2 linked regions of the Neurospora crassa OR74A genome follow. The protein of the gene in region 2 interacts with the protein of the main gene of each other region in a pairwise test. Links are inferred from orthologs where the notes say so. Each region holds a gene or a part of one and is shown on either strand. Other genes may lie near its edges.

Region 1 (3,893 bases), on a different chromosome or scaffold from region 2:
CCTGGGCATGGGGCCACAGTACATGACCATGAAAATTGCACGCCAATGGAGGGCGCAGAGGAGATTGGAGACAATAGCAAATCTGAGACGGCCATCAAGGACGTGATTCACGTTGAAGCGGACCTTGAACCTGTTGAGGTTACGATTTCTCAGCCTGAAGATCAAGTGGACGTCACAGTCTTCGAGGGGTCGAAGGCGCAGTAGTGTCTGCACTTGACTCCAGGCCAGTCTGTTGACAGGTTGGCAAGATATGCTACGGACTTACTTGGATCATGGCGTCAAATACCTCTTATGGTCTCGTTTCACGATTCGATACAGATTGCAAGCAAGCAAACAGTTGTTTAGAATTGAAACATCCCTTTGGTGCATGTCCAAGTCGACGAACGTCTCTCCATGGTCAAAGTTAATTCTGCAACTTTTTTTTGGTGACAACGGCAGGTAGATACCCGAATTTTTTTGCAGCGCAGGGTTCACTTCATGGCGAGCACCACACAATAGTGTCAATACCGGCCATTGAGGCTCGCTTCGTTGCTGAGCTGCAGAGACGGTTCATTTATTTGCCACTGACGAAAACTTCATGCTTTGGAAGAGAACATCGGAAGCTTCTCAGGCAGAGTCGTGAAGGAACACCAATATTTCATAGAGCAATGCGTTTCGGATCTCGCGACGCGGTGTCTTTGTAAGATTAGTTGATCGATTACTCTAAGTATAAGCTCAGAAGCCCTGATATATAAGGGGCTGTTGGTGTGGTAGAATAGGCAGCTTGCTTGTTCAGTGTTTGCTGAACATGTTCCTGCCCCTTATGTGTGATATGGGTATATGTAACCACCTCTTCGCGTCCTTCTCTCTTGTCATCCCTTTTCGATGCTTGGATAGTCGGTGATCGTTTCTCTCATTGGAAGTGTGGACGGCAGGGGTTGACGTCTACTAACCCAAAGCTTTCCCGTCCGAGGGTCGTGGTCATGTAAGGTCCAGCCAGCTCAGCTCTGTGTTGATGGGGTCGAGGGTCTGGGTCGTTCGAACGATTCCGGCAGAAGGTCAGACCTCGTTACTGCACCCGTATGTTCGGCTGGAATTGCCGAGAGCCGTCCAAGTGCGGAAGTCAGTATTCGTCGTCGTCCATCCCAAGCCCCTGGTTGATATTTTGGTGTGTCGGTCGGTCGGCCGGTCGGTCGCGGTTCGTCAGTCAGCCGCCCCCCGCCCCCCTTTTTTTTCCGCATTCATCCACCCCCCTTGGCTCCTAGCCCCTTATCCGTTTCGCCCTTTTCTTCCCTTCCAACGCCTTATTTCCTTCCGTCATCACTCCAGCTTATCCAAATGCTCCAACCTCGTCAAGACAACCTGTTTACTCGTCTCCTCAATCTCGCCCGCCAAGAACACCTCGTCCAGGATGGCGTACACCTTGTAAAAATTGAAGACCAAGTCCAGCTCGCACACGTTGCCGAAGAAGCTGTCCAGCACTTCGACAAAGAAATGGATGGCCTCCAAATAGGCTAGCTCGTTGTCGTTCGTGTCGACGCAGGCGCAAAAGAACAGGCCCGCGTATCGTCGGTACACGACCTTGTGGTTGCGGAACTCGACGAAGTTGGATTGGTATTTTTGGTCGCGGGGGGCTACTAGGCGGTGGATCTGGGGGATGTGAAGAATTTAGAAGGGGAGGTTAAGTAAGGGGGAAGGGAAGGGGGGAGAGGGAAAACTGGACATACCTCGCCTTTGAGCTTGATCTTTTCTTCGTCGCTGTAGGGGACATACCACTTTGCTAGACGGGTTTTACCCCTTTGTTTGGTGGTGTTAGTCTATCGAGTTTGCGACAATGGACTTTTAGATATGTATGTGTATGGTGTATGGTGTGGCACATCTGCTATATGATGTTGCGACTTTGCGACACATGATGCGCTTGTATGTAGTAGAAGAGGAGGTAAGGGTACGTACTGTCGGTTCTGGATGAGAATGAAAGACAACATGGCTGCAAATTATACTTTTGCGACAACAGCGAGGCGGGCGGCCGTCTGAAAGTTGCCAAGTTGAAAAACAATACACAGAAAGTGTAAAGAGAACCAAACCGAACCGCGAATCCGCCGTTGCTTTATTGAACTGCCCGGCACTAGAACCGCGTGGTATTGGATCTCACATGCGACGTAAATCGATGTTCGTACAAAGGATCGACGGGAAGGGAAAAGATGGTGTTGTGTAAATGATTAGATACGGATTATGGAATTGCTAGCGGTGATGTCGAAGTCCTGCTGTCGTCCCTCTGGGATGAGCCGCGTCCATACGAGCCGCCCAGGGGTGAGTGGGGCCCGAGCTTTCCTTTCCGTCGTCCATCGAGGTGCTCGTTCACAGCGGCAGTGGAGGCGGAATGGAGGGAACCCTGGCTGATTTCCATCTGATGCGATCCGATAGGGGGCAACTCTTGGCACTTGTAGGAGCTTATCGATAGCAGCTGCGCTATCCGCCCAGGGCAGGCGCCGCGTCTTCACGTGTCGCAGTGCGACTGGAGTCGTTGTTTTGGCGCTTGGTTTCAGTGCGGTGCCGTTCCAGTTCGAGTCCAATCTTTGTCAGGTTCGATCGATCGAACGGAAGCAAGGGAGTCGGGACCATTCACTGTAATGGGGACAAGTGTGTGAGGTCTTGGCAAGATTGACAAGGTCAGGTCACATCGATTGTAGCCACTGGGGTGGCGCCCCATTCTCTGGGCCGAACGCAGTGCACATGGCAAGCTGAAGCCGAGGACCACCGTTCGAGGGGACCCATTTTCAACTTTTGATGATTCAGTTCAAGTTCCCATCCTCCATCAGTCACGTCCATTGACTTGGACGCGAACAACAACTACTGCTGCTGCCCGGTGCATGCCGTTCGCTTCGTTGCATTAGCCCTTGTTTCTCTATACATCTTGTATCCTCTTACCAGTCCTCCGATCACGACGTCCACGACAAAAGAGCCCTCAACTCTTGGATGCGACCCGCGGGCTGTCAACTCCCCTCCCGACCCGGCCAGGGCTCACTCTTCAAGTCAAAATGACCGATAATAAGCGTGTGGCCAAGGACATCATGTCCGGGCTACTACTAGCTGCTACCGTACGGGCCCTGCTAATCGCGATGCAATGCGCCCACCACAATCTGCTGACACTTTGCTCTCCAGACAATATCCGTATACTTCATCTTCCGTGACTACGTCGCCCCCCACGTCGCAAAGCTCATCGACCCCGACCGTGCTAAGCACGACCAAAACAGGCTGAAAGCTCAACAAAATCTGGCCAGGATACAAAAGTCACGAGACAAATCCAAAGTTGCCAACGACGAGTTCGCCGACGATGAGGTCCCCGAAGACTCACCCTCCACCGTGCGGGTTGAGGACCTCATTCTCAACGAGTACGAGAGCCAGGTAGCGCTGGAAGTAGTTGCGCCCGAGGACATCCCGGTTGGGTTCGACGATATCGGCGGTCTAGACGAGATTATTGAGGAGGTCAGGGAAGCCATCATTTACCCGCTCACGATGCCGCAGCTCTATTCGCATGGCGGCACGCTACTGTCCGCGCCTTCGGGCGTCTTGCTATATGGCCCTCCTGGCTGCGGAAAGACCATGCTGGCCAAAGCTGTGGCGCACGAGAGCGGCGCCTCGTTCATCAATCTGCATATCTCGACTCTTACAGAAAAGTGGTACGGCGACTCCAACAAGCTTGTACGCGCAGTGTTCTCGCTTGCGCTAAAGCTGCAGCCGGCCATCATCTTCATTGACGAGATCGATGCCGTCTTGGGAACAAGGAGAAGCGGAGAGCATGAGGCTAGCGGCATGGTTAAAGCCGAGTAAGTGACCCTTTGCTCTACTTCAAAATGCGCCCTGTGTAACCTTGGGCTTCCGGAGCTAACCTTAAAACTACAACAACAGATTCA
Region 2 (4,202 bases):
GAAGATCCGTTGGTGGCTCCGGCGGCCGGGGCAGCACCGCCGTTGGCTGGTCCGGTCTTGGTGCTAAAGGTCCGCCTGAGGCTGGCTTTCTTGGCCAGGCTGAGCTCTGCACTGTCCGCGTTGGCATCCTTGCCACCAACAATCCAGGTCCTCTTGTCGCTGGTGTTGGCGTGCTTCTGGTGTAGCCTCGAGAGCAGGGCGGATTCTCTTTCGGGGAACGGTGGCATTTCATCGCACACCGTTCGAAGGAGGTCGTCTGTGGGCAAGCTTGCGATGGCCAGGAACTCGCAGGCACGCTGTTGCAGTTCCGCATCGAGCGCGTGGCTATAGACGTGGAACACGTTGACGAGCTGCGGCTTGATTTCCGGAAACAAGTTGACAAACTTGATGAAGCACGAGAGGATCATGGCTCGTGTGCTGGAGGAGCATGCAGGAAGCTTGCCTTGAAGGGCCAGGAACTGCTCTATAGGACTGGAGCCCCTCTCCTCGGCAATCAGATGGCCGAACTCACCCAGGATATAGGCACCAATCTTGACAAGCGTCTCGTGGCAGTGGTCCTGCTTGCAGTACTGGAGAATATTCTGGGCTGCATACACCTGAAGCTCCTCGTTGTTCGTAACAATCTGCGTCACTCGCTGCCAAACTTCGTCGCTGACGTGGTCACCAGCCATGGCAATCAGGCGCAAAGAAATGTCAACATACCATTGCACGTCGGTGGCGTACTTTTCCGTGAGAATGGCAATCTTGAGCACCATTTCCTCTCGGATGGCAAAGTCGGCATTCTGTAGGTAGTGTAGCAACTCGGCCACGATCTGCTGGGCATTGGACGTGTCGCACATGCTGTACAGCAGGTCGAGACCCTTCCTCCGAACACTGATATCCCTGTCCTTCAGAGAGCCGATAATCACATCCTGGTGCTGCTTGATCGGTTCCAGGGTGTCGGTTCGTGCTGCCAAGTGTGTCATGGCCTCGAGACCGAGATAGCGGACATTGGTCTCTCGCGATTGGATGAACCGGCCAAGTCTCTGGGACACCTGCTTCATGAGGTCATGCTCGGTATCGAGATGGATGATGAGGTTGATAGCCTCGAACAGGACGGCGTTTTGCGCATTGTTCTGCTGAACGTTCTTCTGACTCTCCACAGCCAGGTTGAGAATCTTCTGCAGCGACTCCCGGATCATGGACCGGACATGGCTATCCTCGGATGGCGGGAAGTACTGCAGTAATCGTAGAAGCTTGACCTGGATCCATGGACAAGGCACCTTGTAGTAGAGGTAGTCCTGGCTAAACTCGCCGTCGATGAGAATCCGTTTTAGCCTGGCGGCGGCTTTAACATAGGCACCCTTGTATTGCTCCGTGTTATCCTGCGCCAGCGCCATGACAAGGGATGTTACCGATAAGGCCACGCCGAGGTCGGTATCGTCCATTATAGATATTATACGTTCCGCCCATTGAGCCTGGACAATATCGGGGTTTTTGCGGTATAGTCGGAGTAGCGTGAGTGCCGCCTTTTTCTTAACGAACGCCTTCGATGTTCTATAAACCGAGTTAGTATGACAATGCGCCGCTTCCAGATGTAATAGACAAAAACCACGTACGGGGAAATCAGAAGCCTGTGAACCTCGGGACTCAGCGCTTCACCCATCTCCTTGCCACCGACGTTCGCAATGGCGTGCAGCGCCAGGCAGTTGAACAGCTCGTTATGGTCCATCAAGTCCTTGCGAATGCTGTTGACGACCAAGTGTAAAAGCTCGTGCTTCTCGTGGAGGAATAGGGTCATAGCGAGGTAACCGATCTGCTTTTCCGAGTACTTGGTGGCCGAAATTAGATTAACGGCCTCTAGGTGGCCAAAGTCGACGTTCCATCCCAGAATGTAGATATAAAGCAGCTATTTGGGCATTGGTTAACCGTGGTGTTCTTGCTCTTGCTGGTGGTACAAGTGGGCGCTCAGGGGGTTTTGGCGTGGCGCATACCTTGCAAACGTATTTCTTCTTGTGATAACCACTTAGGCTGCCGTCCTTGAACTTTTGACGGATGTTGGCCAGCTCCTTGTTGATCCGCTTCTCCTCGAGTTCCCTAGCCCGAGCATTTCTGAGATCGGCAATGAACTGGACCAAGCCGCGCATGTTGGAGTTGCTGCTGGACGAGCGGCCCAGGAAGCCGGTTCCTGTTGACGACGACATTATGGCGGTTGTGCTGAGTTGGCCCGGGGTATCTTGTTGTGATTAAGTTTTGTATTCGAGCTTCTCTGAGTCTGACTGTTCGGTCACGTATACACGGTGGTATCGTCCAGCAGGAGCTTTTTCTCTACGCGGTTTCCGGAGAGCCAAATAATTCTGCTTTGCTTTTTTATGCCGACCTTTTCACACTGAGAGCATCACGAGCAACAGGATTGATCCATCGACATTCGATAATTAACAAGCTAATAACCGTGGCAGCACGAGTGGTGGTCGTCGGAGTTTAGTGTTGTGTATGAATGGTGGAAGTTGCGGTCGGCGCGGCGGCTGACAGCATCGATCGATGTCACTTCGTTCGGTTTCGAAGTGCTGAGTGGTCAACCAAAAGTGGAAGTTCGCGATGCGCTTCGTTCGGTTCGATGTTTCGTCGTGGTGTACAGGGTATCGGACAGTCGACTGAGACAAAAGACAGGAACCAGGGTCGCGGAGACAATGAAGGGCTGGCAGAAACACACACTTGTCGGGTTCAGTTCGCGACGTGTGCTGTGTCGAGTTGGGGAAGGTCGGCGTGGTCGGCGGCTCCGGACTGGTTGTTGGTTGACGACGAGGATTCTCAGGGGAGGGGACTGGCGGACGGCGACGGGCGGATTGGCGATTTCCTCCACTGCAAAATAAAGGGGATCTCCATCCAATAAGTTCAGTTTTAACCCGCTGAGGGAATACGATACGTACCGTACCGGCGTACCTATGGACCTCTACTGGGTGCCCTGGCCCCCCCGCGAACCTCGCTAGCCAGCGGGCAACCACGCTGTAACATGTACTTCTAGCGCTTCTCTATCACGACCAAGGGCGCCACAATACCCCCTTTTTGTGGCTAGTCGCACTTATAAACCCCGGCAAGAAATGTGGCTTCCACGCTACATCGAGCCTGAGAGGAGCTATGACGATTTAGATGCGCCTTGGCATCCACCAATCCGCGGTACCTCGATGTCCGGCGTAGGTAGCATCGATTAGTTGTCTTCAAACCCAAACTTCCCCTCTCAACTCTTGCCTATCATGCCAAAGCCGGGCTCGAGTTGTGACGGCTTCACTAGTGTACTCCGAGGATGCGGCTGACTTTGGCTCCAGTCTGCCGGCCGCAGCAATGGAAACCGCTCCTCACGGGCGGGACGGCCCGTCGATCATATGCCTTTCAGTCCGGCAGCCTCAACTTTGAAGTCTTCAACCGCCGCGCAAAGTGGTTGCAGAAGGAGAGGGCAGCTGCCAATGTTGAAGGGGGCCGTCAAGCCGACTACCTCAAGGATGAGGTCGCCATGCGCGTGTGCGAACGTCTTTTGGTAAAACATACCCCGTCTCCCTCTCCTCTCTTCTTTTATACTGTCTGTCATATGATATCGAACTAACCTCATCCCACCCCTCCAGGACGTCAAACGCCAATTTCCCCGCGTCCTCGACCTCGGCGCAAACTCCTGCAACATCGCCCGCGCCCTCCTCCGCCCAGACCCGGACCCCGAATCCGAGCCCCCGGTCACCGACCCCCTAGCCACCAAGATCACCGAGCTCGTCGCTGCCGAATCCTCCCACTCTCTCCTCCACCGGGACCACGACCACCCCTCTCTCTCCACCACCCACGTTCCCGACTTCAAGCTCACGCGCCACGTCCTCGAACACGACGAGCTCCTCCCCTTTGAGCCCGACTCCTTCGACATGGTGCTCAGCAGCATGTCCATGCACTGGATCAACGACCTGCCGGGCGTGCTCTCGCAGATCAACAGCGTGCTGAAGCCCGACTGCCCCTTCATCGGCGCCATGCTCGGCGGCGACACCCTGTACGAGCTGCGCACGTCTCTGCAGCTGGCGGAGCAAGAGCGCAAAGGAGGAATCTCGCCTCACGTGTCGCCATTGGCGGACGTGCGCGACGTCGGCGGCCTGCTGCAGCGCACGGGGTTCAAGATGTTGACGGTGGACGTGGAGGACATCGTGGTGGACTACCCGGACATGTTTGCGCTGATGCAGGACCTGCAG

The links.
Region 1: the proteins of NCU03440 (region 2) and NCU07989 interact in binary tests that used the Saccharomyces cerevisiae proteins (3 or more experiments, as listed by UniProt). The link is inferred for Neurospora crassa OR74A from reciprocal best matches to the Saccharomyces cerevisiae genes APL3 and APS2.

Annotation. Positions count from the first base shown.
Region 1 is NC_026504.1:3,822,435-3,826,327, reverse strand, and holds NCU07989 (AP-2 complex subunit sigma), read right to left. Parts: upstream 2,559-3,893; 5' UTR 1,965-2,558; coding exon 1,933-1,964; intron 1,777-1,932; coding exon 1,707-1,776; intron 1,630-1,706; coding exon 1,300-1,629; 3' UTR 513-1,299; downstream 1-512. Other genes in the region: NCU07990 (hypothetical protein), read left to right, coding at 1-204; NCU07988 (ATPase family AAA domain-containing protein 1), read left to right, coding at 3,018-3,077, 3,142-3,806, 3,889-3,893. UniProt on the Saccharomyces cerevisiae protein: Component of the adaptor complexes which link clathrin to receptors in coated vesicles. Clathrin-associated protein complexes are believed to interact with the cytoplasmic tails of membrane proteins, leading to their selection and concentration.
Region 2 is NC_026502.1:713,391-717,592, forward strand, and holds the start of NCU03440 (AP-2 complex subunit alpha), read right to left. Parts: upstream 2,832-4,202; 5' UTR 2,184-2,831; coding exon 1,974-2,183; intron 1,889-1,973; coding exon 1,599-1,888; intron 1,537-1,598; coding exon 1-1,536. Other genes in the region: NCU03439 (hypothetical protein), read left to right, coding at 3,284-3,514, 3,600-4,202. UniProt on the Saccharomyces cerevisiae protein: Adaptins are components of the adaptor complexes which link clathrin to receptors in coated vesicles. Clathrin-associated protein complexes are believed to interact with the cytoplasmic tails of membrane proteins, leading to their selection and concentration.